Astyanax mexicanus: one gene and its partners. The protein of the gene in region 3 binds, or shares a complex with, the protein of the main gene of each other region. Links are inferred from orthologs where the notes say so. Each region holds a gene or a part of one and is shown on either strand. Other genes may lie near its edges.

The links.
Region 1: nup214 (region 3) and ranbp2 share a complex: the UniProt entries of both Homo sapiens proteins name them as parts of the nuclear pore complex. The link is inferred for Astyanax mexicanus from reciprocal best matches to the Homo sapiens genes NUP214 and RANBP2.
Region 2: nup214 (region 3) and nup205 share a complex: the UniProt entries of both Homo sapiens proteins name them as parts of the nuclear pore complex. The link is inferred for Astyanax mexicanus from reciprocal best matches to the Homo sapiens genes NUP214 and NUP205.

Annotation. Positions count from the first base shown.
Region 1 is NC_064418.1:23,983,567-23,994,026, reverse strand, and holds the start of ranbp2 (E3 SUMO-protein ligase RanBP2), read left to right. Parts: upstream 1-5,058; 5' UTR 5,059-5,197; coding exon 5,198-5,269; intron 5,270-10,460. Other genes in the region: LIM and senescent cell antigen-like-containing domain protein 1, read left to right, coding at 1,000-1,075, 1,626-1,764. UniProt on the Homo sapiens protein: E3 SUMO-protein ligase which facilitates SUMO1 and SUMO2 conjugation by UBE2I. Involved in transport factor (Ran-GTP, karyopherin)-mediated protein import via the F-G repeat-containing domain which acts as a docking site for substrates.
Region 2 is NC_064416.1:18,026,039-18,036,371, forward strand, and holds the start of nup205 (nuclear pore complex protein Nup205), read left to right. Parts: upstream 1-4,931; 5' UTR 4,932-5,008; coding exon 5,009-5,036; intron 5,037-7,767; coding exon 7,768-7,910; intron 7,911-8,108; coding exon 8,109-8,280; intron 8,281-8,510; coding exon 8,511-8,655; intron 8,656-8,812; coding exon 8,813-8,972; intron 8,973-9,239; coding exon 9,240-9,468; intron 9,469-9,803; coding exon 9,804-9,968; intron 9,969-10,098; coding exon 10,099-10,274; intron 10,275-10,333. Other genes in the region: protein FAM107B, read left to right, coding at 347-503, 1,130-1,249. UniProt on the Homo sapiens protein: Plays a role in the nuclear pore complex (NPC) assembly and/or maintenance. May anchor NUP62 and other nucleoporins, but not NUP153 and TPR, to the NPC.
Region 3 is NC_064408.1:3,826,945-3,837,477, reverse strand, and holds the start of nup214 (nuclear pore complex protein Nup214), read left to right. Parts: upstream 1-6,082; 5' UTR 6,083-6,262; coding exon 6,263-6,304; intron 6,305-8,871; coding exon 8,872-9,067; intron 9,068-10,409; coding exon 10,410-10,533. UniProt on the Homo sapiens protein: Part of the nuclear pore complex. Has a critical role in nucleocytoplasmic transport.

The DNA of each region.
Region 1 (10,460 bases), on a different chromosome or scaffold from region 3:
GAGTCTGAGAGAGAGAGTACAGTAGGTCATGCTGTTCCTCCATCAGCAGCCGGAGTGTGAGAGAGAGAGTACAGTAGGTCATGCTGTTCCTCCATCAGTAGCTGGAGTCAGAGAGAGAGAGTACAGTAGGTCATGCTGTTCCTCCATCAGCAGCTGGAGTCTGAGAGAGAGAGTACAGTAGGTCATGCTGTTTCTCCATCAGTAGCCGGAGTCTGAGAGAGAGTACAGTAGGTCATGCTGTTTCTCCATCAGCAGCCGGAGTCCAAGAGAGAGAGTACAGTAGGTCATGCTGTTTCTCCATCAGCAGCCGGAGTCCAAGAGAGAGAGTACAGTAGGTCATGCTGTTTCTCCGTCAGCAGCTGAAGTCTAAGAGACAGAGTACAGTAGGTCATGCTGTTTCTCCGTCAACAGCTGAAGTCTAAGAGACAGAGAAAGTACTCCATCAGCAGCCGGAGTCTGAGAGAGAGTGAGGGAGTACTGTAGATGTAGCAGCCGAGTCCAAGAGTGTACAGTAGGTCATGTTGTTTCTCTCTGGGTGGGTACAGTAGGTGGCACTCTCTCCGCTCATCACTCCCATTGTGATCCTGTTCAGTGCAGGTGTCTGTAAGCTGATGTATCAGACCTGGGGATCCGCTGCTTTCCTCCATGATCACAGTGCTGCTGCCTAGTGCTTTTTGTAACATTTTGATTGGCAGCAGAAAAAGACAAAGGTGTGCACTCACATCACCCTCCTATTATCAGAGGCATTCCTAGTAGGGGGTAAATATAAACAGAAATTAGGGCATTGGCCTTCCAAATTGGGGAAAAAAATAATACAATTAGAAATACATGTAAAAAAGACAAAGGTCTTTTTTTTTTTACCCGACTGTAGATAGTCACCTCTTTACCCTCAATCGTTTTTGTTCATATATTTAATATTTAGAGTTGACTGAATGGATATTTCTGCTGCAGGTATACAATAAAAAAATAATAAATCTGATTAATTTCCTGTATTTTCAGTGGTGTCTGCGCTGAATAAGGCATGGTGCATCGGCTGCTTCACCTGCTCCACCTGCAGCACTAAACTCACCCTTAAGTAAGTTCCCTTTAAACCTTGTTTACTGAGGACACTGCGTGTTTAACCCTTTAACATCCTCACCACCATAACTTCATTAAAATTAAGAATTTATTATTTAGTAATTCCTTTTTTCTCAATGACTGTGTAATTACAGTCCTATCACAGTGTCCTTTATTAGTACAGTAGTACCCTCACTCCAGTGTACTTTAAAGATATCCTGATGGAAAGGGAAGTAATGTTAAAGTGGAATCATCAATGTTCCAAACACCTGCAGTGGACTGCACTAGAGTCCACTTAAAAAAATAAACCAAGGTCACTGATTTCAGGAAGACCAGACTGCTTCCTGCTTCATAGCAGTTTTCACATTGCACCAAACTAAACCAAACTCACAAAAATAAGAAAAAAAGAACTACAAGGACCAGTGAAAAAAAGCTAATGTGAAAATACCACTCTTACAGTAGAGAATGTCAGTACTCAGGATGCACAGGTTTACTAGATTAATGAGCATAAATACATGATGTAATTATATCCAATAGAGTGATTTGTGAGTGATTTGGGTTTTTATCAGGGAGAAGTTTGTGGAGCTGGATCTGAAACCGGTGTGTAAACAGTGCTATGAAAGAATGCCGGAGGAGCTGAAGCGCAGACTGGCCAAGCGTGAACACGACTCCAAGGAGCGAAAGAGGAAGATGGGTATCTGTCTGTGATCTTCGCCAGCAGTTGGTTAGTGTTCTGCGTTCTCTTCATTTTTTCACTGTGTTTATCATCTATTACACTTTCAATAATCAAATTTTTCTTTTTTTTTTTTTCAGAAATGTTGCAGTTCTATGAGGAAAGTGCAGAAATTTGATGATGTGTACTGTAGTATTTTCTAGTATTTGTTATAAATATTCAATGATTTTATCCTATATTGTACATAAATACTGAAGTCATCCAGACCAAGAAGGAACACATACTCAATCATATAGTAACTTTAAAGTGTTAAACAAACCCAAAATATTCTGCAATACCCAGATACCCTGGTGGGTTCTTATATGGGGTGCTGTTAACTAACTGTGGTTTCTAAGGCTGGTAACTCTGTTGAACTTATCTTGTGCAACACTGGTAACTCTTGCCCTTCTTTTTTGGGGGATTTTCTGATGAGAGCCAGTTTCATCATTAGGTTTATGATGAATTTTTATAAAGCTGGCTGAGAAAATGCTAAGATGGAAAAAGCTGTCATCTAAGCAAAAGGTGATACTTTGAACATTACCTGGTTTGTTTAATATTTTTGTTTACTAAATAATTCTATATGTGTTTCTTCATAGTTTGAATGACTTTAATATTAATCTTTATTGCAGAACATTTTAAAATAATGAAAAAACACTGAATTTAAGGTGTGTCCAAAATGTCACTGTATGAAATGTACACATGCATTGACAAGTTTTAAACCAGCATACAGTGTTATGCATACAGAGTTGGCACCCCTGATCATTTTCATGATTTCCTTTATAAATCACTGGTTGTTCAGATCGGCAATTTCAGTGAAATATATCAGATGATATTGTAATATCTGACAAGTTTATTGGATTTACAGAAAGTGTTCAATAATTCTGTAAACAGAAAAATTGGGCAGGTGCATACATTTGGGCACCCTTGTTGTTTTATTAATTTAAATACCTTTAGCACTAATTCGTTCTCAAAATAGTTTAAGCTCATTGTCTCTTGACCTACATACACAGGTGAATCTATTTATGAGAAAGGTTTAGGTGGCCAATTGCAAGTTTTTTTTTCTTTTTGCATCTTCTCTAAAGAGTGGAAACATGGAAGCCTCAAAACAAAACTCTAAAATTAGCTGAAAACAAAGATTGTTCAACATCATGGTTTAGAGGAAGGATACAAAAAGCTCAGATCTCAGAGATTTCAGCTGTCAGTTTCCACTGTGAGGATCATAGTGAGGAAATGGAAGACCACAGACACAATTCTAGTTAAGACCCCAAGTGGCGGACCAAGAAAAATCTCAGATAATCAGAGGAGAAGGATGATGAGAACAGTCATAGTCAACCCACAGATCAGCTCCAAAGACCTACAACATCATCTTGCTGCAGATGGAGTCACTGTGCAACATTCAGCTATTTAGAGCACTTTACACAAGGAGTGGCTGTATGGAAGAGTAATTAATGCAGAAGAAGCATTTTCTGAGCACACGCCACAAACAGAGTCACTTGAGGTATGCTAAATCACATTTGGACAAGCCAGCTTCATTTTGGAATAAGGTGCTGTGGACTGATGAATCATGATAATTATCAGGGATGCCCAAACTTTGCAATACCAATGTAACCAGGATTTTAATGTTTTAATATTGTTTGACTTTAATCATAATTTTTAGATTATCTTATAACTTTGTGAAAATTCTAAAAACATTTGGAGATGTGGTTAATCAATTAAAAACAATACAAAACAAAAATCCAAGCCTAACACTGTCCCTAGATCTGTGGTGTGATTACTGTAGCTTTAAGTTAGATTCTCACTGAGTGCATTTACATGCTTTTCATAATACAGATAAAAACTCATCAGACAATAATCAGATTTTTGTTGCAGCCAGACAATAATCTCACAGAATAAGACGTGATAAAAACATTGCGTAAAACATGAACTTCACACTGCAATATGGTCATGAACAGCTAGAAAATGAAGATTATTTAACCTGCAGTTTCAGGGTGTCTCACAAAGTATTTGGTTGGGATCTCACAGGTGCTGTGTTAAACTCGCTTATTTCCACCCTGTTTTCACTCATGCACATCCCAGAATACTCCGGTTAGCCCACTGTAGCATGATTTTTTTCATATTTATTGGGAACAAATATTGTAGCCTGTTGATATATCCATTAAAAAATAACTGCACAATGTTGCACTGAGACAAAAATAAAAAAACCCTGTTTTAGTATGCAAATGAAAATAAACTAGCCACAATAATGACAAAGACATTAAAAGGAAAATTCAATTATCAAAAATATTCTTTGGTGCCTAAAAGCCAATCCATGCCATAGAGGGTATGACTTCATACTCAGTATGAAGTCAGTGTAAACTCAGTTTATATTACTACTTCATTTATACAGCATATTAATTTAGCATATATTGTGGAATGTATTGTTATTGTATTGCTATGAGGTGCACTGATTTGCCTCAGCTTCTCTTTGGATTGTATATGTTATTTGTTTGGAGTTTATTTAGTATTCACTGCCTATTGCTTGAAATGAAAATAATTTAAATAAAATGAATGTATACCAAAAAAAATACTCGAGATTCCTGACATCAGAGTTTCACGCCTCCACTCTGTTCACACCACACCTATTATTAATACCAGTTATAAATTAATAATAAAAAAAGAATACCCTACTTATAATACAATTTGTATAGCCAGTATGTACATATATTTATATCTTTATAAATATCTGCAGTGTTTAAAAAAGCACCAGCAGCACTGCTGCATCTAATCAACTTGTAGCAAAACAAACACCATCACCTCACACACCACTACCATGCATATAGACAGTGTATAGGCTGTATAAAGGACAGTGTGGACAAACTGTAGATGACAGTGTGTATATATATCATATAAAAGACAGTGTGTATAGACTGTATAAAGCACAGTGTATATAGACTGTTGAGGACAGTGTGTATAGACTGTATAAAGGACAGTGTGTATATACTGTGTATAGGAGAGTGTGTATATACTGTATAAAGGACAGTGTGTATATACTGTGTGAAGTAGAGTGTATATATTGTGGAAAGAACAGTGTGTATATACCGTATAAAGGACAGCGTAGGTAATATACTGTAAAACACTGGAGCTCCTGTTCTCCATGCAGCACGCTTGCACTGACGGCAAACACGCAGCTTTCATTCTATTGGCTGCGACTCTAGAGGCGGGACGTTCGTCCTCAATCCTCATAGGCTGAATGGTTTGTTGGGAGGCGTGATAGGATTGTGTGATGCGGACGGAAATCTCGCGATAAGGTAAACGAGAGCGGCCATATTTGACAGGTTCGGGGAAGAGCGCGGTCCCGGCGAGTGTTCAAACAGAGCGGTGTATTAACGGAGTAACAGCGGAACAACAGCGAAACACAGATCACCCGCCACCCCAGAGACAGATTCAGACATGAGGCGGAGTAAAGCCGACGTGGAGCGCTACATCTCCTCCGTAGAGAGCCTCTCCCCCGCCCGCACACAGGTACCAACCGCCCGCCAGCGCTAGCATTAGCATTAGCATTACCAGGGCCGGCTCCAGCAAAAGCAGCTCTGTGTAGAGAAGACCCCCCCCCCTCTTTCTTAAGTTCATTTAGTTATGGGCTTTTAGTGTTTGTGGCACTTTAACGCTCACACGCCCCCCCCCAGCCCCCCCCCCCCCCAGTAATAATAATGATAATAATAATCATAATAATCATCATCATCATTATCGTCAGCTACAATGCAAGATCACAGTTAAGATATTTTATTTTAAGAATTTATAAGAATTGAATACTAACAATACAGCGTTATGCAAATACAATACATAACGCTACCATACTGTTTAATCAACGTTAATTCAACGAATTCTGATGTCGGAGTTTAACGTTACATTAATGCATTAGAGATCGAAAGTGAGCGAGCTCGTTGAGCGTTAAATAGCTAACTAACCTAACGCTAGGTAGCGTCAGTTAACTAGGGTAACTGTCTGTGTTCTGAGAGTAGAAGAGCACCAACCAGCCAAAGCCTTTAAATGATGGTTTATTCAGTGTCAGAATTTTAACAACTAAAGTTTTTTTTCCATAATCAACATTAAAATGTATTAAAGTAGCTTGTATTCAGTGTTTTCTTCTATCAGTACGTTTCTACTGAATCCAGCGCTATTTAGTTTTCCTTCAGACTTGGTCAGTTTAAAGTTTAATGTGTAGAACTGCGGAATTGAATTTGACCGAGCTCCAGCTGTAGATCAGGGTGTGTATCAGCCGCAGTGTGTGAGGGCAGCGCGGGGCTGGAGCTGAAGGCCTGCGCGTGTCAGAGTCGCCGGTATTAGCTATGCTATGCTAGGCTAGGCTAGGCTAGCGGTCCCTCAGTGAGAACAGTCGGTACACTGCGGGCTTTTAGCTGTTCACTGTGAATGTGAACCGGGTTATAAACACCAGATTAATAAACCCCGTATCTCTTCGTTAATAATTTATACCGCATTATCCACACCTCCCTGCTGTACAGTCGCAGTTACCCGGCTATTAGCATTAGCGCTGACTGTAGGAAAGCGCGGTAAACGGGCGGGAGGTTCTAAAGATCAAGTTAAACTCTCTCTCTCTACACTGATTTATTTTACATGTACTAAACGTTAATTCCACATTTCCGTACAAATCTCACAAGTCTGATAATTGTAATAAATCCTTACTGGTGCTGATGCTAATTCACCATATCTAAACCGGCCTTGACTGGCTGAGAGATGCAGTTCACATGTCTGAACAGTATCAGAGCTAAAGTACAACTATCTTTTAAAGAAATAGTAAGATTACTGTTATTAATGCCTAAAACTAGTCGTATTATTCGTCAGAATTAGTCTATATAACGTTATATCTGAAAATACAGTTTCTGTAAGCTTTGTAAGTATGTTTTATATTGTCTTTATTCTTGTGTGGTATGATGTTTTTGTCCCCAATATGTCAGTGAGCAATTTAAGTATTATTATTATTATTATTATTATTATTATTATAATTATGATTATTAATAATTAATCATTTTAAAAACATAATTATACAATTACACCCTTTTACATAACAGGAAACTTTTTATGTGTATAAATATGTAGATATTAGTCAAGTAAGTTAGACAGGGAATTTAAAAATGGTTTAAAATCCTACCTTAATATAAAGACTCCAGATAAATTTCACTGTAGCTGTGAGATCATGTTCGATGTACAGTGGTGCTTTAAAGTTTGTGAACCCTTTAGAATTTTCTAGATTCTTACATTTGAGAGTGAAATTAGTGTCGGCTGTTTTCAGTGATAATGGACGGAGCAAGGTTATAATAGTTTTGAAATTTTCATTCTAGATTCTTTTTTTTTTTTTTTTTCCACTTTTTCTCCTTCAATTCAGTTAGTTTTAATTAGTTTTTAGAGTTGGTGTGCCAGTTTTTATTATTTTATTTTCTTTATTATTGCTTAGTTTTAGTTAACGTTAGTTTTTATTAATTCTAGCATTTGTTTTTTTTTTCATACTTTTGTGAGGATCAGGATTCAAAAAGATATTATGAAAAAAAAAACTCAACAAAAGAAACAAAAACAAAAAAATCAGTTACTGTGAAACAACTAACTGTCCCCAAAAACTGCTTAAAATAGCCAAAAGAACACACATGAACATGACACGCACATCACATCAGAGAGCTCAACTTGAGAAACCCAGAAACAAACTCAGAAACCCAATAAACTATACAGGTTTTACTCATTTTCACCAAAATTATCAAGTCAGAAATTAAATTGAAATGGACACCTGGCACTAGATACAGCTAAGATAAAACTTTTTACTATATTAGTGCAGAACTAACTATACTGTAGCTCACATATATAACATCAGAAAGTGATCACAGCTGTCTGAAATACAGTTTATTTAGTGTGTGTGAGTTAGAGAATGTGTGTGTATGTAAGAGAGATAGAAAGAGTGAGAAAGAGACATATTTATCAGTTCATCTTCCAGCTTGAGTTGTTCTGGTGTATGAGCTACTCAGAGTAAGGCTGGTAAAGGTACTCACAGTTAGGGCTCTTATGCTGCTTCTCAAATAGACTTACAGCTGTGTGATGTTTATTCCGCATACGGTATCTGCTGTTTTAAATACAGAATAGAGGTGTGCCATATCGTATCGTACACGATAATATCGCTAACATTTTTGAATACAGTGTACAATATTTTATCCTGAAATATCGTGCCCTAATTATCACATCAGGGTACTATTTTTTTGGCTGTTTTAAGCAAAAGAAAATTCCTATTATATATCTACTAGAGACATATTATATCTGTTCAATATCACTTATTTTACTTTAATCCTGGATAAATGGAGATATTTGGAGTGCATTATTATTAGTAGTATCATGACATTCTGAATCATTGACTTCTGTTACAAATCTGCTAGAATTCTTTTTTTTTTTTTTAATATCTTAGTTAGAGGTGTGCATGTCATATCATATACAATGATAAAATGTAAGTTTTGTTTTGCTGCAGTAGTTTATTTTTATCATATCACCTATAGTATCGTTATCGCGATAATGCCATGAAATATTGTGATATTATTTTAGGGCCATATTGCCCACCCCTACTACAGAACACATTTATCTTCGTTGTGCTCATATTTTAATCCCATACAGAATTCTGCAGTTTTCTGTCTTTATTTCACAGTTAGATGGCAACTGTAAACAGAAGTGACGCCACTGACTGTGAGGTGCAACGTGTTGCCACCCACTGTAAAACTGCTTGAGTGGAAACAGCGCTTATAAATAAACAAACACATGAAAACTAAGTGTATCCTAACTAAAACCTTTTTTTTTTTCTATTGGTTTCAGTTAATAAAAATTATTTTTCACTTTCAGCGAAAGTAACAAAATTACTTCTGAGCAACTAAAGGCCCCAATTCTCCCACTGCTTAATACTGATATTCTTGAGTCTACCATCAGAAGAACACTGAACTACTGTGGTTGACATGGTACAGAACGTTAATGGTTAGAAATGTTACATTTAGTAAAAGGAAAACAAGGTGTTGCATCTGTGGAACACGTTGGTAGTAGTATTACGGTTTGGGTTTGAGTTTTGCTGCATCTGGGTCAGGGTGGTTTCCCTAATTGGTAAAACAATGCTGAAGAAAAATATCAGGACGTTTAGGCTTAACAACAATCTGTTTTACACAAACATTTTATGTTGGCGTATAGGTGTGGACAATATTAGTATTGTATATAGTTTTGTGATAATTTATTTCCATGATACACATTTTACACATTTACTTTTATAAAGAATCAGAGCGCTGACCATATGCAAGTGAGAAATGATCACAGATTTTTTGTATTATTACTGTGTTTTTAAAATGTGCTGGAAAAAAAATCATTTTAATTGCTTGACAGCACTAAAATATGATAATCATTTTGTATTATAGTCTAGATATTTTATAAATAAAAGTTTATAAGTTAAAGAAAAGGAGAAAAATATATTTTAGGGTCTGTCAGAGAATTCAAATCAAATAATTTGTATAGCGCTTTTTAAGTTTAAGTTTAAGGCAATAAATAAATACCACTCATGCACTAATATTCATAGTAAGCAGCATTTAAGTATTTGTGAAATCTGACATAGTCTAGCAAGTTTTAACAGGTTTCCAGACCCTCTTAGATGTCTGCAAAATAAAAGCAGTTTTTGTGAGTGGAACTCAAAGTATATTTGAGGTTCTACATAGTGGACAGGTTTAAAAACTATGAGTCTGGGGTTTCCTACAGGTGTGCTATCTGTGTTATACTGTGTATTTGCAGTCAGGCCTGCCATGCTTAGTTGACATAAATGACAAGATTTAGATTATAAAAAAATAGTTTACTTCAAATGTCAGGGTGGAGTACTGGTTAATCTGTAACAGCACCTCCCAACACAGTGCTGGGGACAAACACAGTAACAGGTAATGAGCCTACTTACTCAGTACACAGTCTGTGTCTCAAAAAAAGGGCTTAAACGCAACATATTCACGTACATATTTACTCAGTTAAACATGGGATTTAAAAGCCCAGATATTTACTGTTTCTATTGTTTTTAAGTGATTAAGAATGTTAGGAATAGGAGCCAATAAGGAGGCAGAAACAATCACTGACTAATCTAAAATTATGTTTCAGATTAGTTGACTACCAAAATAATCATTAGTTGTTGTGCATGTAATCACTGTTGGCAGTGTTTAGATATTACAATTTCTAATGAAACTGTGGAGGAGAGCTAAGACATGTTCATGTCAGATGTGAACAGGCTTGTTGGTCAAAATTGAGTTCTGCAATTTCAGAATTAATTTTTCTGGCTTCAGAGATTTTGATGTGTTTTGTAAGTGTGTGTTGTAAAGAACAGCTGTGCAGGAACACATGCAGACCTGCTGTTTCTCAGCACATGCACAGCTACAGTCAGTCAGTGTGTTCTACAGCAGCTGCTGGATCTCACGGTGTTGGGCCAGTGTCTGACTTCAGCAGTTCTTACAACACACACAGCCCCCTGGATAAACCAGTAGTGTTTGTTCCATATTCAAAATATTTTTAATTGCTATGTAATTGGAGAAAGCCAGCAATCATCACATTTTACTTAATTAGTTAATATTTTTTCTGTTAGTAACAGTGAGACCCTTTTGATCAGGTTTATTATAGTAAGCAAAAACATGTAGTTTATTGCCCTGAACAACGC
Region 2 (10,333 bases), on a different chromosome or scaffold from region 3:
TGTGAATTAATATTCCCTCTGACTCAGCCTGTTCCCTGATCTAAATCACACAGCTAAATGGCTGCTGTGACAGAGCTGCCATGGTGACTCAGGGGATTGTGGCTCTGTTGATGGCCATCTTGGCAACAGGACCAATCTGATTTACTTTTTCTCTCTCTCTCTCTCTCTCTCTCGCACACACTCACACTCTCACATACACACACACCCACACACTTTGAACTGATGCTACTCAACGTCATAGCTGCTGTCATGGATTTTAGGCCTGCATCTGCCTGTTTTGACCTAATCCATGTGTATGAGTTTTCTCATAAATCCTATGTGTGTGTGGCCTGTTTCCTCTCTGCAGGGGCCTGGCACCTCAGAACAAGCCCGAGCTGCAGAAAGTGATGGAGAAGAGGAAGAGAGACCAGGTGCTGAAAGCTCAGAAGGAAGAGCAGGAAGCTCATAAGAAGCAATCAGATTTGGAAATTGAGCTCATGAAGAGACAACAAAAACTTGAACAGGTACATACACGCCAGATCACTGGAACAAACTGTTTTACTTTATCCTTTATGTTACAGTGTTATAAATGAGTATAAATCAAAAATGTTCTTGCGTCAATTCTACAGGCAGTCTGACATTCCAGCATACTGCATGGAGATCTACCACTAGTCTACTACTAAACTTTTAAACTACAAATAGATCTTGGCAAAACAAATACACTTTTGCGTTCCCATGAGCACACAAGTGTACACCTCATTTAATATCCCATGACTTTATGCATTTCAGTGTACATTCTGTTGCTATTTTAAAGAACCTTGTATCTCAAAATTTGTAGGTTTTTCATGATAAATAATCCAATAAAAATGTTTAAAAATTATTTTAGAAAGACTTCCATTTTTTTTCTTTTTCTCATTTAAAGTTGCCATTTTTGGAGTTTTATTGTGACAGCAGTGCAGAGTGTGTCTGGATTGTCGGGTGTCACAGTCTAGTGAAAGTTCTTAGCGCTCTTATTGAAGTAGTACAGTAGATGGGGTTACTTCCTGGGTGAACCCCTTTTTCCACAATGCATAACACAAACTACAACCAAGAAACCCAACATGCAGATGTTCAGACTGTAAAACATCTTTCTGTGTATTTGTGTCTGTAGCTGGAGTTGGAGCAGCAGAAGAATGAGGAGGAGCAGGAGAACACCCCGGAATTTGTTAAAATGAAGAGCAATCTAAGAAGAACCAAGCAGGAGGTGGACGAACAGGAGCGCACCACCTAGACACACTATGGGGGGTTTAAACGAGTCCATGGCACATGAAAGCATGGCAACCGGACTGCAGATTTGTGGGGATTCCCTGGTGTTCCTGCTCCCTGTGTTCCTGTGAAAACCGTGAATGGTTCCTATTGCCGACCTGCAGACACGACCAGTATTCACTTACCCTAACCCCTAAACACCGGCAGCAAACAGAGGGATTGAAATGAAAAATGCGCACTCAGACACAAAGGCACAGTCTCCCCGTCACTGGCTGGTTGGCTGGATGGCGGGCTTTGGTGGACTTACATGGCAGGACGGACAGAACACACGCAGAGTTTTTCCAATTCGTTTTCTATCTCTCTCTTTCTTTAGCTTATCTTTATTTTTATTTTTTCTGCTGTTTCTTGTTTTCTTTTTTAACTTATTTTCAGAAATTCAAGTTTAGAGGGACACTGGATGGACTTGTGCAAGCCTAAATAAGTGTTTGTTTTTTTCAGTTTTGCCTTGGAATGATGCTGATGATGAGGGGTTTTATGAGGACTTTATACCCTCCTTTTGGTTGATGATCAGAAAAAAAGAAAGAAAAAAATATGAATATGGATTCTCAACAGTTCAACCTTTGGCTGTGATGTACAGATGTTTGCTTTATTTTGTTGTTTTAATCTTCATATCTGTGCACTCCTTCTAAGCTACATCTATTTTAAGCAATACTAGAACTAGGTTGGTGTGTTTTTGAATATTTTTGTTTTTCTTTTTTTACAAATAAATTTGTTATAAATACAGTTTAGTTGCAATGGTGTAGAACACTGTGTTGAGGCACTCTTGTATTTTTTTCCACACCTGAGTAGTAATTGTTGAGTGCAATCAGGAAGGTCTAGGAAAGAAATGCATTTTTTGTTAGTTCAGTATTGAAGACTCACAGTCTAATGTATAGATTTGAGCCAATGCCCAACCACTCGTGCTCCCTTTAATTCAGAAAAACTTCTTTTAATAAATATTATTTTGTCATGTTGATGATGTGATGTTTGTCTTATTTCCACCCACTCAGATCATTCACAAAGACCTGAATATAAACAGTAAAACCTAAACAGAGGCTGGAGTCCAGTACATGTACTGATACAAATCTGTCAGGTAACCATAATTCTGCATCACGTAAAGCATTCAGCCAACATAAAGCCACTTTCAACAGTAGAGTAAGTCTTAAATTGCCCTTACAGCCTTCAAAACTGAGGCCAGGCAGCAGCACCACAGGTAAGGGAGCCGGGGGGGAATGACTACACCTTGATGGTAAGTAAAAGTGGGGAAAGACATACCCAGTATGCAAATAGAGTTAAAGGAAAAGGTTTATTGTCTCATCAAGGTTGCACCATCAAAATATAAGACAGTCTTAAGGTGACCATATGTAACTACAACAATTTGGCAACTGCAGTCAGTATAGCTCTATTGAATCAGCTCAGTTAACTTTGTGTATTGTGTATCTCAACCGTTCTTTTTATCAGCTTAAGCGGTACCAAATTTCTCATTTGTGTTAACTTTAATAATTTAAGTAATTAAAAAGGACAATTATATGTCATGTATAGAAGCCCAGCAGTGAGTAGCTTAGGACCACAAGCCGGTGAGCAACATCTTAGTACTTTAACTGCTGAGCCAGTACTGCAGAAGAAGTAGACCTTTGGACACTAAACATGTCTCGTGAACAGAAGAGAAATGTTTAACTTGTAGTTGCTAAACCTTCCTTTTGGATGCTTGTCAAAAAGTGCTTTTTAAATACCCTAGGTGGCACCATTGTGTAAGTTCCACAGTGCTGCAATCAGAGACGATACCCACTTCAGAATCCATCTAATGTTCTTTTGATTATTAGACTACTTAAGTAAATATGCCTTATCCAACTCTTCCATAAAGATGTAAATATGAAGGTTAAAAAATGTTCCCTTTCAATGATGTAAAATTTTAATACATCTATTGTTTATGGCTTTATCTTCTCAATGCTTCTTTTTACTGCATTCTTCAGTTTCACTTTCACAGAAACGAGTCTTGTTAATGCACTTACTTTGACACATAAATGAAACTTGGCTGGATTAATTAATGGTGTTCATAATATACAGTACCAGTCAAAAGTTTGGACACACCTCTTTTCATTCAATGTGTTTATTATTATTTTTTTACATTGTAAATTTAATATTGAAAACATTACAGCTAGTATATTTATACTTCTAGATTATGGATTCTTCTAAGTAGCACATTTATCTTTGAGGACAGATCTGCACACTTTGTATTTTACTCTCACGTCTTTATGAGGGAGAGTCACCTGGAATAGTTTTCTCAGTGTCTTGAAGGAGTTTTTGGAAGTGCTGAACAATAGTTGCTGCTTTTTACCCATCTCACTGTTTTGATGTCTGTAATATTAATCAACAATGTAGAAAATTAATTAAAGAAAAACATTGAATGAGAAGGTGTGTTCAAACGTTTGGCTGGTACTGTATTGATATGTATTTACTTATCTTAGGTCTATGGCTTATTTAAAGTACAGATCTTTTAAGTATTAAACCTTTATGGCATGTATAATATATTTCATATGTTATATGGGAGCTTGAGAGTCCTAAACAATTTTATTTATTTTGTCTTTTATAATAAACATATCATTTGCATCAGATGTTTTAGAGCAAGAATACAAAAACATTTAAAGTTATTTATATATTATATGTTATTTATAACATACATAACCCTTTCAAACCCTGCGTGCATAACAATAGACATCCAATATTTTATTTTTTTGTAGACCTGTTGTCCATCAAAATAGACCATTAATCAGCCAAAGAAAAGGTTTACAACCCAATGAAACAGCAGCCCCGCCCACTGCACTGGAAAAAACACCGCAACCCAGACATTAGGGATTGGCAGCACTAGAGCCAGTGAAAAAGTATGATAAACTAATTTTAACAGATTTTATGTCATTTACATAACTTTTTATCATGTTTATTGCACTGTTTGGAGATTGTGTGTGAAATATTAAAGGCATGGTGTACTAACCAAAAATTGGGTAACACAATAAGGGTACCTAAATTAACAGTACTTATGACGGAATGCCTCAAACAATTATTATCTGACACTAGTTAAGACATTACTCATCATTACATTTTTTTAAATAATTATTAATAATTATTTTAAAAATAAGCAATACATTTTAAATAATTTAATAATGTTTAATAATGTCTTAACTAGTGTCAAATAATAATTAGTTGGGACATAATCATTTATCATTTATAATGCCATAAATACTATTTGTGACCCTACACAAGCCTGTATTCAGAAAAGATTCATATTGGATTCACATCAATGACTCAGTGAGTCAAATAGATGAATCAGTCGTTTAATTTGCTTCGATCTAGCAGAAGCTCAATTTTGTCCAGTAAATTAAACTGTAGTCTGAAGATGAGTGTTTAATATTACATTTATTGGAAACTGAACATGAAGGTGATTAAAATTAATTCAGTTTGAGATTAATTTACAAAATTAACTTCAAAATCCTCTTAAAACTACAAACCGCCATTTCGACACTTGGACTCCCGGTTAATCGCCTGAGAGAAAATCGATTTCGAAAAACTATAATTTGTTTCACACTTATTTTTAAGAAGGTGTAATTGAGCATGTTTAAAAAAGAATAGAGAGTTTAAAGTATAGAACCATCTCCTGCTTGGCACGCAGTGATCCGAAACCGTATATAATTTTCAGTCTGGCGATAAGCCGGGAGGCTGCGGCTGGGCTGGTGGTGGTGGAGCAGACATGGCTGCGCAGATGGCGGTAAATTCAGGTACGGAGCTCATGTGCTGGTTATTCAACACTCCTCAGGGCTGTGTGTGTTTGTAGTTTGTTTATTATAACAGTCTGTAAAGCTGTGGGATCGGTTTAGGGAGATTCATGAGCGACTGAAGCTGCATATGAAGGCAGTTCTGCCTGTTTCTTGAGTTCAGTTTGGTTCCATTACCCGGTGTTGTGTCGAGTTATGCTACCCAGCTATACAAGCCTCCTAAAGAGACTGCGCATGCGTTAACCTACATCTTTTTAATGATTTCTCGTGTGTTTTATAATAATTCTGTTTTTGTTGTGTATTTAACAACCAGTACTCACTGTCACTACACAAGTGTATTTGCAAGTAATAATAATAATAATAATAATAATAATAAAAGATTATAAAAAACACAAGCAAGATTATAAAAAACTCACATTACCATAACTTTACACTGATACAGTGAATTATGCTGTTCAAAAAAAGTAACGTTACATCGACTTCTGCTGTGAACATGTTATAATTTTGTGCCTTTTTGGCATTTTTACGTTTAAATAAGTTATACTAAAAAGGGTAGCACGGTTTTACAGGGTAGCACAACTCGACAGAACACCGGGGTTAGCTGTTAAGCTGTTAAACAGCGCTGTTCTCATAATTATCAGCCTCCTACAGTCAAATAAACACAGTTATTCACCAACACGCCTATTATACTCACCTCTATCCACGTCTAAACTAACAGAATTCCCCGGCTTTTGTTAACAGCAACCCCCTGAATATAGCCTAGATATATCTGGCGGCTGGTTACTAACGCAAGCTTAGCTTGGCTCAGTCTGGTGTAAAAAATACTTTCGCTCTTAGTTAACTAAATAATGCTCAAAGTTCAGAGAACTGAGTCTGCGTCTAACAGCACCCAGATAACTTTTTAAACACCATCATCTGGTTTAATATAACAGGTGATTTTGTTGTGAGCAGGAATCGACAGAACTCTCTGGCCTCAGAATTAAACTAATTGTAGCTAATGCTAATTGTTTTCATTATTCCACTACAGAATAGTTAAATGACCTAGGTTAGCGTTACAGGCCTGCAAATCTGAAACAGTAAGTCCCTAAATATAAGGATGGAAAAATAGTTTTTGGAGAAACCAAAGTACCCTTTCTAAACTAATAGATTATTCAGTTAAAGACGAACATCACTAAAGGGAGAGAATGTTTTAATATAATTTGGAGAAGGGAATTGTTTGTTAAACTGAGGGAAAGGTTTGTTAATTTGATGGAACTGTTTGTTAAATAGAGAGGAACAGTTTGTTAAATTGAAGAAACTGTAGAATTGAATGTAAGGTTTGTAGAATTGAGGCAACTGTTAAATTAAAGAAGCTGTGGTAAATTGAAGAAACCGTTTGTTAAACTCACAAACTAAGGGAACAGTTTGTTAAATTGAAGAAACTGTGTATAATTAAGGGAAAGTTTGTTAAATTGAAGTAACTTTTTTTAAATTGAGGGAACAGTTTTTGGTAAATTGAGGCAACTGTTAAATTAAAGAAATGGTTTAAATTGAGGGGACTTTTTGTTAAATTGAGGGAACTGTTTGTTAATTTGAGAACTTTTTGTTAAATTGAGGGAACCGTTTGTTAAATTGAGGGAACTGTTTGTTAATTTGAGAACTTTTTGTTAAATTGAGGGAACCGTTTGTTAAATTGAGGGAACTGTTTGTTAATTTGAGAACTTTTTGTTAAATTGAGGGAACCGTTTGTTAAATTGAGGGAACTGTTTGTTAATTTGAGAACTTTTTGTTAAATTGAGGGAACTGTTTGTTAATTTGAGGGAACAGTTTGTAAATTGAAGGAATTGTTAAATTGAGGGAACGGTTTGTTAAATTGAGGGAATGATTTGTTAAATTGAGGGAACTGTTTGCTAAATGGAGGAAACTGTGTTTAATTGAGGAAACTGTTTGTTAAATTGAAGGAATTGTTAAATTGAGGGAACAGTTTGTTAAATTGAAGGAATTGTTAAATTGAGGGAACGATTTGTTAAATTGAGGGAACAATTTGTTAAATTGAGGAAACTGTTTGTTAAACTGAAGGAACTGTTAAATTAAAGGAACAGTTTATTAAATTGAAGGAATTGTTTGTTAATTTAAAGAAACTGTAAAATTGAGGGAATGTTTTTAAATTAAAGAAACAGTTTGTTAAATTGAGGTAATAAACTGCTAAATTGAGAGAACAGACAGATAGATTATGAGAGAAAAATGAAAAAATATTTAGTAGCTTCAGGAAATGCTTGATGTCTACTAATGTTTTTACAGTAATTTTAACAAAGTTATTGGGCAGTTGGTTACCTTTCTTAGATTCTAGCAGACTGACTAGAAGAGTGTGTGTATGTTGTGTGATTTATATAATGCATGAATTATGCCATAGTATATGTAATGCAGAATTTTGTTTAGTATAAAGCAGTTAAAGGCCTTGACTTGATAAGGCACACATTCCCAAAGTGTATTTCTGTAATTCTTTATTAGTCCACTATTTAGTAATCTTTTTTTAAGTCATATAGGATTATTGTTTTTGTTTTTTATTTATTCATCTGCTAAATAAATACCTGTAGAATTTGTAACAGTATACACTTTGTTTAGCTCTGTGAAGTTGTGCTTGCTATGCCTATTGTGTATTAGAGACCTTTCTTTTGTGGTATTCTTACAGTATAACTGAGAAAGTGTTGTTACATGTTGGTTTACGGCTTGTGTGGATGTATTTCCTGTGCAGGAGCCAGTCTGTGGGGTCCACTGAAAGAGTTATGGGAGACTGTGGAGGGCTCAATATGGAGGAAACAACCAGAAAGTGTTCATCTTCTGGATTTGCAGTTGAAAAAAAACAAGCCCTACTTTCTGTCTTTGTTCAAAAACCCGGTACAGTACAGTGTTGAAGATTTTCCCTTAGGCTGTGTTTAGTTCCTAGGCCTGATCTGTTTTATGAATTTATTGTATTAAACCCTTTCAATGACCTATTAATATATGTTTTTATAGTCAGCTATCTGTAGGGATGTTGTTGCATAAACACATGTAATTAATTTAACTATTTGTGGACATATTTTCTTTTGGAAATAGCCAAAAAGTGCAGAGCAGAGAGAGAAAGTGAGGAAAGCCAGCACAGAGGGAATTTCTATTCAGGGCCAGCAGGGCTCACGACTTCTCCCTGAGCAGCTGCTTACAGAGGCGTTTATCCTCAGTGATCTCTTCGACATTGGAGAGCTTGCAGCACTTGAACTGTTGCTTGCAGGTAAACCAAAACACACAACCATGTATGCAAACACACAGAAGCTAAATGCAAATCCAAATTTTGTCCATTTGGCTTGCATGGTGCTAATTAATAGGCTATATATACGTATATGTATTTGTTATTGGTTGTCTGTTTATTTGATATTTTTAATGGAGAAGAATGAATATTAAGCTACAGTTCATATTTGACATGATTTGAAAGGTAAGATTAATTACTATTCTTCTTCGCAGGAGAGCATCAGCAGCCTCATTTTCCCGGTTTGACAAGGGGTTTGGTGGCTGTTCTGCTGTACTGGGATGGCAAGCGCTGTGTGGCCAACTCTCTGCGCTCTCTCATCCAGTCACGTCATGGCAAAACTTTCACTCTCGACCTTGGGTATGGGGCCTGTTTATAAATATACCTTAAAATAAATATATGTAGATATATACCTTGGCACTTTGTTTATTTCTGATACTTGCTTTTTGTATGTTGTATGAACATGTGTGTGAATTCTTTACATATTTATTTGTATGTATGTTTTTGTTCCTCATAGTGCGGATTTGGTTAGTCTCACCACACGCTTTACAGATGAGCTGATGGCTCAGGGATTGGCCAAACAAATCCTGAACCTTGTGTCAGATATTAATGTCACACGGGAGTTTGAGAGGCTGCAGAAGGAGCGAGGACTTGGCAACGAGAAACATAGGAAAGAGGTTAGGGCTGTTAATTCATTAAGCAGTTTTTTTTAGCAGATGGGACTTGAAAAGGAAACTATATTCTACAGCATAACTACAGCCTGAGAATCAGACCCTAAATATTTAGATTTAGGCACAATTGGGTTCCTTTTTTGTATGTGGTGGTGGTAGTAGTAGTATGTGTAGTTGCCATATCAAAAATGTAGACTAGGAGTAGGAGGGAACTCTCTTTAAGTGTTGCTGAAACGTTTAATCAGTTTGTTGCTTCATTATTGTCTTCTACAGGTGTCTGACCTCATCAAAGAGTGCAGACAGTCGCTAGCTGAGTGTCTGTTTTCATGGACGTGTCAGTCACCCCTTAACAAAGATGATATGCTTGCCCTGATTGGTCATCTGGAAACAGTCACAGCAGAAGCTGATGGCTCACTAGATAGTGTGAACCTTGCACTGGTCATGGCATTGCTGTACTGCCTGGATGTCAGTTTTCTGGAGCAAGGGACAGAAGACCGAGACGGTACGTCATTGTTCTGTGCATACAGTGGCAGTGAAATTGGGCTTTTAACTCTTGAAGCCTTGTATGTAGTGTCATACTTTGTTTACTCGCATAATTATATTATTGTCATAATTTACAAATGCTATATAGGCACTAAAATAGAACCTTGTGGGATGCCACAAAATATGCAAAACTTAAAAGGCAACCAAGTAATTTGGGTAATCTGGGTACTGTTTGTTATTCCTAAAAATATGTTCTGTAGGGACATTATTCACTTGGTGAAAATTTCAGTTAAAGTAACACATTTCCTATCTCAGAATTTTATTAAACCTGATAATTCTGTACGTCTGTTCCAGACCTTCTCCAAGCCCTGCCCTTACTGACAGAGAAGCAGTATGTGTCAGCAGTGCACAGTCGTCTGGTAGAGGGTCCGACATGGAAGCTTCCTGGCCTACAGGCAGTGGTGCGGCTGACGTGGGCACTGTCGCTCAGGGCCCTCTCTCAGCTTCCCCAGGGTGCAGGTATTAACCAGAATTTACATTGCAACACAAGTTTATTTACATATATATTTTTTATTTTACTACTTTAAATACTGATGTTGACACCTTGGCAGTTCATGGATAACTAATTGTTTTAATATTTTCTCCTCAGGTTTGGTAGAGTTTACAGAGGCAGACGAAGCTCTGGCTGACCAGGCCTTGCTGGGTGGAGTGTTCCTTTTCCTGACTGAGGGTATTCTGGGAAGTGAAGGCTTTCACCAGGAGGAGTTCTACACTCGGCGCCTTCATGCCCTCATCACTGATTTCCTGGCTCTTATGCCCATGAAGGTGGGAAAGATACAACAGTGACAAACCGGTTTCGTATAATTTATTTAGTTGCTTGACCT
Region 3 (10,533 bases):
CATGGGCCTATGGATTTCAAAATGTCAGGATTTTAGTTTTTAAAAATCTTTTTTTTTCTAAAAAGAAGTAAAATAAACACTTTATGTTAAAATTGATTTAGCAGGTTAGACACGAGTTTGCATTTGGTTTTAGCATGTTAGAAATAATTTTAAAATACTCTAATAAAACTCTTATCAATATCAAATCTTCTAATTGATTATAGTATAACAAACATTTTTGGAATTGGTTTCAGAATGCTGTAATTGATTTTAAACCGCTTGGATAGATTTTTGAATGGATCGAATGTTAGAATCAATTTTAACATAAATATTTTAGGATTAATTTTAGAATGCTAGGACTGATTTTGGACTGATAGGTTTGATTTTAGAATATTAGTACAGATTTCTGAATGGTAGAATTGGCATGATATTTTATTTGCTTCTATTTTAGAACTGATTTTAGAATGTTGCAGTCGATTTTAGCATGCTAGAATCAATTCTGTCATATTAGGAACTCTTTTAGAATTCATTTCTGAATGTTTAAGGATAAAGTTTCAGGTGTAGAATGTTAGATTCAGCTTTATACCAATTAGATTTTCTCACTTTGAATGTTGTAACTAATTTAAAAAGTGTACTTTTATAAAAATGACTGAAATCATGCACTACTTGTACTGTTTACAATTTGCTTAATCCATTTTAGTATTCCTCTTTTGTTCTCTTTTCTTTGTTTTCTCTTATTTTCAGACTGACTTAAGCATCATACATTCATACAAATGAAGAATTGAATCAAATTAAATGTTAATTTTTGATTAATCACTGTTAGTTAATTCATGGTTGTTTTAAAATTAGCTGAAGTGAACGCAGCTTTCTGGACGTTCACAGGCCCCTCAGCATAAACCAATATGAATCCAGGAGGACTGGGTTCAGTACCGGGTGCAGGGTACTTGGCGGGGTACTATGCGGGGTACTGGGACGCGTGTGTTGTGTGATTTGTCCGTGGAAAATGATGTCAGCACTTTAGTGACCTCACCGTTTTTTGGGTGCAGGTTGGCGAAATCTACCTGTGAGGTAACAGACGGGCAAACCTTCCAGGCCATGTGCTCCAGCGCAGACAATCAGAGGAGGAACGTGCACTAATGTTCTAGCAGAAGTATTAGCATTGTTAGCTAGCTAGCTAAGCCACTGCAAACTTTCCAGCTTGGCTTGATTTCTGCGTGCCTGAGCTAATGCGGGTTTAAGAAGCGTCTACTGGGGTCATTTTTTTGGCTGAATGGGGAATCAGTTGTCTGAAGTTAGTCTCCAGTATCGCTTAACGACTAGCTTTCGGTACCGACCGCTAGTGCTAACGTACTCTTGCAAAAATCCAGTGGCGGTATATAAGCATGGACGCCTTGGCGCCTTTTCGGACTCGGAACGTATTAATTTGGTAGCCTTGCCCCTTTCTCCCAGACCATGCCCAAGCATACTGTAGTCTCAGACTGCCTTCATTGAGTTTACAAAACACACAAGCGGAGGAGGAACGTGCACTAACGTTCTAGTAGAAGTATTAGCATTGTTAGCTAGCTAGCTAAGCCATTGCAAACCTTCTAGCTTGGCTTGATTTCTGCGTGCCTGAGCTGATGCAGGTTCTGCAAGTGTCTATTTGGGTCGTTTCTGAATGGGGAATCAGTTGTTTGAAGTTAGTCTCCTGTATCGCTTAACGACTAGCTTTCGGTACCGACCGCTAGTGCTAACGTACTGTTGCAAAAATCCAGTGGCGGTATATAAGCATGGACGCCTTGGCGCCTTTTCGGACTTGGAACGTACTCATTTGGTAGCCATGCCCCTTCTCACAGACCATGCCAGTAGCTTAGCAAGCTAGCTAACTAACTTAGCTAGCTAGCTAGCTAAGCTACTGCAAACTTTCCTGAGCTAATGCAGGTTCTCCAAGCGTCTATTTTGGTTGTATTTTAACTGAATGCTGAGCGAGTTCTTTGAAGTTAAGCTCTTGTATCGTTTTATGACTAGCTTTTGGTACTGACCGCTAGCGCTAATGACTAGCTTTTGGTACCGACCGCTAGCAATAACGTACTGTTGCAAAATTCCAGTGACGGTATATAAGCATGGACGCCTTGGCTCCATTCCCCTCCGAACTCGGAACCTACTCATTTGGTAGCCCTGCCCCTTCTCTCAGACCATGCCCGTAGCTTAGCAAGCTAGCTAACTAACTTAGCTAGCTAGCTAAGCTACTGCAAATTTTCCTGAGCTAATGCAGGTTCTCCAAGCATCTATTTTGGTCGTATTTTGACTGAATGCTGAACCAGTTGTTTGAAGTTAAGCTCTTGTATCGATTTATAACTAGCTTTCGGTACTGACCGCTAGCGTTAACATACTGTTGGAAAATTCCAACATACAGTAATGTTCTTGGAGAAGTATTAGCATATTAGCATAACTTTCCGGCTTTGCTTGTTTCTACAAAGCTAATGCAGGTTCTGCTAGTGTCTCTTTGTGCAAGTTGTTTAAAGTTAGCCTACTGTATCCCTGTACAACCTGCTTTGGGTACCAACAGCTAATGCTAACGTTATGCTAATGCTAATGCTATGTCCGCCATGTTGACAAATTTGCAACCAGAGTCTCTGCCCTTATTCCAGACTAATCTCAAGTGTCTCAGACCGCCTGCATTGAGTTTACAGTGTAGCCTAAAGTACCAGAAGCAGTTTATCCTTTAAGCTAACAACTTTTGGTTAGTAGAATGTTTTCTGAACGTTACATTTAGCGTTCTTAGAATGTTATTTTCTGGATGTTTCTAGAATCTTTTTATTTATTGCTTTGAACTTTCTGTAACGTCATCGAGTTAACGACACTTCAAAGCGTCCAGTTTTTATTTAGTTTTAACTTTTAACATTTCCCTAATGTTGGTATACGTCTAGTTGGGAATGCTATGTGAGAAGCGGTCTAATAACGTTTTAATGCAAACCATTGTTACGTCACAAGTTTTCAGAATGTTCTTGGAACGTCATTTCCGTAACGTTACAGGTTAACATTTCTGGTACCTTTTCAAAAGGTTGCTAAACATTCTTTTAACATTTTCTAACATTAGCTGGATGCTCCCTATAATAAAGGTGATTGGTCTGTTCTAGACAAGGCTGCCGCCTGTCAATCACTTGATGATGTAGCCCCGCCTACTTGTTGCAATATAGAAGAATAACACTGTTGGAATTGTTGGATACTGGAGAGAAAAAGACAGTTTAGAATAGAGAAATTTGATGTGAGATGGGAAATGGGCGGGGCTTTTTTATGTAATTAAAACATATGGGAATGGTTGGAGCTACCCGTCATTCTGCAACCAGCCAGCAGAGGCGCTAGACTTGTGGTGGCTTTATGTTTAAGAGACTTTTGAGAGACGTTGCGCTGTCCATGCTTATGTACAGTTACTGTAAAAACCTGCAAGACAATGCTAGTCCACGGGTGTAAAACAGCTAGCTAGCGATATAGCCTATAGGCTAACTAACGTTACGTTACGTTCTAGGCTAACTACCTTTAGCGGCCAGGCTTCTTTCAGTATGGCAATACTGTGTGAATGAGATAATTCAGTACATGTGCTTCAGAGTTTTAAAGTGTGAAACACGTAAGTCCTTTAAAAAAAAAAAACGTTGTTTACGACTTCAGACGACACTTTAGACTTTAAACGTGAAATACCACCGACTACATCCTGATACGACTAAATCATTCACATTTTATCAGCCAATCGATTTCCTCCACCAACGACAGATTCTGGTTTGGGTTGAAGTTGTGTAGTTCAAGTGATTTAATTCCTTTTCAAATGCAATACTGAAAAAAAAAACTGCTTTCTAATAAAAGTCCTTATTTCACCAAAAACGTTTCCTGTGTTGTTTATTATTACGAAATGTAGGGTATTAAAAGGGTCATTTTTTATCTTTTTTCAACTTCTGTTACTGGCACTCACTCCTGTTACTGGAACTCACTCCTGTTACTTGCACTCACTCCTGTTACTGGAACGCATTCCTGTTACTGGCACTCACTCCTGTTACTGGAACTCACTCCTGTTACTGGAACGCATTCCTGTTACTGGCACTCACTCCTGTTACTGGAACGCACTACTGTTACTGGCACCCACTCCTGTTACTGGAACGCATTCCTGTTACTGGCACTCACTCCTGTTACTGGAACGCACTACTGTTACTGGCACCCACTCCTGTTACTGGCACTCACTCCTGTTACTGGCACTCACTACTGTTACTGGCACTCAGTCCTGTTACTTATGTTTTAAGTAACAGGACTGAAAGTAACAGGAATGAGATTTTAGCCTAGAATTATAGCCAATAGCGTAAGCACACTGAGCACATTCTAGTGATTTTTTCCAAAATTTCTATTTAAAAAAATAAACCAATAAGATGTAAGAATTAATTTAGGTAACAGGACTGAGTGTTGAGATTGAGCTCCTCAGTCATCGTTACAATAAGATCAAATATACAGAAAAACTAATGAGGGAACTTCGGGAATTTTATTCTTCAGAAGAACCAACTTCCTATTGTAGATGTCACTTCCTGTTGTAGATGTGACTTCCTGTTGTAGAATGTTCCAGATGTTTCAGATGATCAGGGTAATGTGTTACAGTAACAGGACTGAGTGAAACCACAACACAGTGACACAACTAAAATGTGTATTTTAACCTTAAAATAATGAATTTATTATGAAAATATATTTTTAAGCATAGATGGGATTTAGAGTCACACAACAATGCAAAAAAATACATCTCTGAATGATTTTAATAATTATATTTCATGGTAAAGTTTATAGTTAGAGAGTGGGGTAACAGGTATAAAATGCTATTTTTATTCATTGTTCTAAGTAGTTTTTATTAATGTTTTTAATTACATATCTTACTTTTGCAATTAGGCCAGTGTACAATAATAAAATGTATTTTAAAGTTATTTTGTGTGCACATTTATACATGTAATTTCGTGAAGACAGAAATGGCACAGATTCAGTGGAATATGCCAAAAAAAAATTATTTTGCTTTTGTTGGAGTAACTGCATCTACTGTCCAGGGAACACTTTTTTTTACTAGATGTTGGATTTACATTGCTTTGAGAATGTATAATGCTTTATTGTTAGTTTATAGGAATAGAACTGTGGCTAATGACTCCAGCAGATCTGAATATAACAGCATATCTAAATGAATAGAGCCAGAAGGTAACATAGACACAGAGGCACCTTGAAACACTGGCATTTACCCACTCCACCAACCACAAATCTAAGATACTTATAACTAATTAAAGCTATAAAATATTAAGCCAGTTTACTTGTTATGAACAAGCTGATATTTTAAGTAATTGGAAGAATATCAATTACAGTAACTACAAAAGTTAGAAACAAATATTATGATTATTATAATTGTTATAATTATAAGGGCCATTAAATTCAGTATATAAGTTATTAATAAGAATTAATGGTTTAAAAGAATAAAATAAGCTAAGAATAAGATATGCTGAGAGTTTAAATTGATTCATTTGTGCACACTCAACATTGATTCAATTTGTTATGTTTATCTTCTTTTTTATGTGTGTTGTGTGTTATGTATTGTTTATATTCTTGTTTGTGTTCTTGAAGTGAACATTTAATAATAATAATAATAATAATAATAATAATAATAATACAATGTTTTTCCATCCTAAATATTAAAAGATTTAATGCGAGTAAAATGTAACGTTTCTAGAAAAATTAAACAAATGATTAAAAAAATAAATACAAATCTTCAACATGTCTAGTATAACTTTGAGGACTTTTATTTTGTATATATGAAGGCTTTTGTCTTGTAAGCAGTAGTTATATTCACTACTGAAATAAAGTCACTTTTTAATCATATTTTTAATAATTGAGATGCATTAATAGCTTCCATTAAAAAAACACAGTGCTAATGAAGCTTTTATTATGAAGAAAGGAAACTGTATCAGATGATAGGGGACTTCTATTGTATAATGCCCGCTTTTAGCGGATGAGTGAGGACTTTTATTGTGTAATGTCCGCGTTTATGCGTCGTTAGAGGACTTTTATTGTGTAATGTCCGCTTTTATCTAGCGATAGAGGACTTTTATTGTGTATTGTGAGCGCTGTCGCAGTTGTGTGTGTTCGCATGGCTGCAGTGTGTGTAGTGTAGAAATGAGGAGCTGATAATTCTATTTTTACAGAGAGAAATATCTGTAATTCTATAATAATCCAGTAGATCCTGTAGATCCTGTAGATCCGGGTACTGCGGGCTGCTCTACTGAACGGCGGGAATATGGGGGATGATCAGTACCCGATCCCCGAGCGGGATATGAAGGTAAAGTTACAGCGCGCGCACAGCTAACAGCTAATGCTAATCCAGCTAAATACTGTATAAACTACTGTGAACTACAACTTTTATAGCTTATGTCTGATATTAATAAAGTGTATTAATTATTATTAAACTGGTGAAAATCCCCTGGAGCTCATATATGTACTATTTACTATTATAATCTCTCTAATTTAAACTGAAACAAACTGAGCTAGCCTAGCCTAGTTTAGCTAGTTAGCTTAACTTATACCTAAATATCAGTTCTTATTAATCGTATAAATCTGAAATAAACATTTATCAATGTTTTTATCACTAGTTTCTGTTAAAAACTACACTGATACTGTATTACTAGTTAAACGTCTAACTAACATTTATTATTTATTAATAATAGTAACGCACTTTCAAACGTTAGCTAACTTAGCTAACGCTAAGTAGTTACACATGAAGTTGTCACAATGTTGTCAACTTTCTTACAGCGTTGTTTTAACGTTATGTAGATGTTGCACTGCAACAATATTGTCTGAATGTTAAATTGTCTATTTTAGCAACAACGTTGTCCAAATGTTGCACTCTTAGACAACAGTGAAAAAAATGTTTCACTTATTTTTTTGCAGCAATGTTTTCTAAATGTTGAGTTGTTTATTTTTAGCAAAAACATCTGTCTAAATGATTAACTGTTTGTTTTAGGAACAATGTTGTCCAGATGTTGCACTCTTTCAACGTTGTCTAAATGTTAAGTTGTTAAGTTGTTTTTAGCAAAAATGTTGTCTTAATGTGGAACGGTTTAGGTTTTCAGCAACAACGTTGTTTAAATGTTGCACAGATTTTTTTGTAGCAATATTATAGAAACGTTGAAGTGTTTGACTAATCAGCAACGTTGTCTGAATGTTTCATCAATGTTGTCTAAACGTGCAACATCTAAATGTTGCATTGTTAATGTTTTATTAGACTCATAACTCCTGTAAACTACAGTGTACTACAGCTTCTGTCTGAGATTAATAAAGTATATTAATCATTATTAAACTGGTTAAAATCTTCTGGAGCTCATATACCTGTATTTACTATTATAATCTCTCTAATTTTAACTAAAAAAAACTGAGCTAGCCTAGCCTGCTATATATATATATATATATATATATATATATATATATATATATATATATATATATATATATATATACACACAGAGTTAGCTAAGCTAGTTAGCTAAACGTTTAGTTAAATATCAGCTCTTTTTAATAACAAAATTACTGATGTTTTCTACTCTAGTTTCTGTTAAAAACTACACTAATAACGTTTTCTAAACGTCCTTTAAGAATATAGTTTACGCTAGCTTACTTGCTAGTTGTCACAACGTTGTTTAGTTTCTTACTGCTAAGTTTCAACATTGTCTATAAGTTTCACTTTCTGTTCTTATACACAACGTTTTCTAAATGCTTAGCGGTTTATTTTATCAGCGTTTTCTTAGTGCATCACTGTTTATTTAATCAAAAACATTGTCTGAATATTGAACTGTTGTTTAAGCAACGTTTTCTTCATGTTGAACTAACGCTAAGTAGTGAGCCAGCAAAAACATGTTTTCTCAATATTGTCAGCTTTCTAACACAGTCGTTTTATTATGTTGAATCAATTATTTTTTGGCAACGTTTGTCTAAATGTGGAACAGTTTATGCTTAAGTAACAACGTTGTCCAAATGTTGCACTCTGTTTTAGCAATTTTGTCTAAATGTTGAGTTCTTTATTTTTAGTAACAACATTTGTCTTAATGTTTAACTGTTTGTTTTAGAAACAATGTCATCCAGATGTTGCACTCTTTTATCAATGTTGTCTAAATGTTGAGTTGTTCATTTTTAGCAACAGTTTAAATCTTGCACAGATTTTTTTTTGCAGCAATATTACCTAAATGTTGAACTATTGTCTGAATGTTCCACACTGTTTTATCAGTGTTGTCTAAATGTTGCACTCAACATATTTAGATGTTGTTGGGACAAATGTTGCAATTTTTTTTTCAGTGTATTAGTTGTGTGTCATTTTGTAAACTTATTACCGTTATTCAATATTTATTGCATTTTACCTAGGTTTGTGCTATTAACAATTACAACTTTACAACAGCATCAATGTTTCTTACCATTTAGACTTTATTACTGACTTTTAACAGATTTCTAAATGTTTTACCTCAATAGCCTAGTTTTCTTGCTGTTCTTTTATTTTGCATTTTTTTAAATAAAAATTTAAATCAGAAAACTACTCTACATCTCTTCATGGCTGTCTCTCTCTCTCTCTTTCTCTTTCTCTTTCTCTCTCTCTATTAGCATGAATGTAGTTACATACATTATTGCCAAATCAATTAATAATACAAGTAACAGACAAAAAAAATACTAATAATAATAACAAAAATAAAATACATAACTAAATCTAAAGATTAGAGAGAAAAAAACCCAGTAATATTAAAAAGGTTGGGTTATTAATAAAGAAAATAAGTAAAAGTAGTCATAAAAGCATGTTAAAGTTAGATTAATAAAACATTAAATTAAATTAATAAATAAGTTAATTAATCTCTATTTCTGTAACAGGATTTTCAGTTTCGTCAGATGAAGAAGATCCGGGTGTTTGATTCTCCTGATGATCTGCAGAAGGAGCGCTCTGGTCTTCTGGCGATCTCTAATAAGTTCGGCGTGACGTTTGTGGGTCTGGACAGAACTCTGAAGGTTTATCTGACTCGGGAAATCATCGCCGCCGCGAAAGTGGATGGAAACATTAATGAAATCGGTAAGAACTGATCGGTTTTACTAGATTGAATTATCTATCTGCAGCCTGAGGAGCCATCTTCAGTTCTAATGGCTGGAGAAAGGTTTTAAGATTTTGCGCCCTGTTTTAGCGGTCTATAGCGAGCAAGCGTGTCATTGTGTCTTTGCTATCGTAACGACGGGAAAAGTACACCTTGCGCGGCTTGACATGCACAATTATCACACTATAAGGCCCACTCAAAATCATTTAATTTCTCCAAAAAACGTCAGAGTGCCTTATTATCCGGTGCTCCTCATGTATGAATTCTACCAGTCAGGTATTAAGGAGCAGTAAAGACACTCCACTGAAGTAATTAGTTCTCCAGCACTGGGGCTGGAGCAGTATTAGCATTAGCTGCTAACCACGCTAGCTTTTTTGCCGTTCACAGGCAAATATTATCAGCCTGTAGCCTGCTGCTAACCATGGCTAGCACTGCTGGAGCAGCATTAGCATTACCTGCTAACTGCATTAGCTCTTTTGGTTAGCTGCTAATGCTTCAGCTTTAGTGCTGGAGAAGTTTGGGAACCTTAGCTTACTGTAAATAAACAGAAGAGCTTTAATCACCCAAATAAACAGTTTTCAGGAGAGAAATCTGTGTAGATTAACATCCAGTGCTCATTAAACTTTAAAATTAAGTCTTTTTTATTACAGATTTGTTTACTTAGCTTAGCTTTACTTAATATTGTTACCTACTGAATTAGTGCTTCCTTATTGTGTCTCTTAAAATGGGCCCTATAGTGCGAAGAATACAGTACTAAGTATTTCAATTGATCATGGGTGTGGTTAATTTTGGGGCTTAAAGTGTCTCTTGCTCATCATTCCCTTTAAGAGAGTCAAGTGAGCTCTGACTTTGGTGGATTGCTATTTTAACGGTGCAGCTACCTGGACGTGTCCAACAAACTCTTCTCAGCAGAGGAAACTGAGCTGCTGGTTGACTCTGTGAAGGAGCTCCAGCAGCTCATTTACGGGAACAGCAATGTTATTTTATTTACTATTCTGTTTATTGTTGATGTAAAAGTTGTGTTTGTGTACTGTTACAGTGTTGCAAAGATAGCGATGAACGTCTGACTTTCGACTGTTGTCAGGGTTTTATACAGTCAGTGGAGCTCCTGTGTTTTCTGTTACCAAGATAGAGATAGCAATATACCAGAAATGTACCTAAACACACCTCATTTCCAGAACACCCATCAGTGTAGATATATTCAGAAACTCTGCTGCTGTTTAAACCAGGCAGGTTGAATCTGATTGTCTGCAGTGTTTTGCAGTATCTGAATGTCTAGTTTTGGTGAATCCTGGCTGATATCCCTCTGTTTCTGCTCCTCAGTGGAGAATGTAAAGTGTCAGGTGCTGAGTGTGGATCTGCCCATGCACCACCTCGCCCTCAGCAGTGATGAGCTCACGCTGTCTGTGTGTGGGGTTGGCGAGGACGCCGCTCTCACCATGGACTT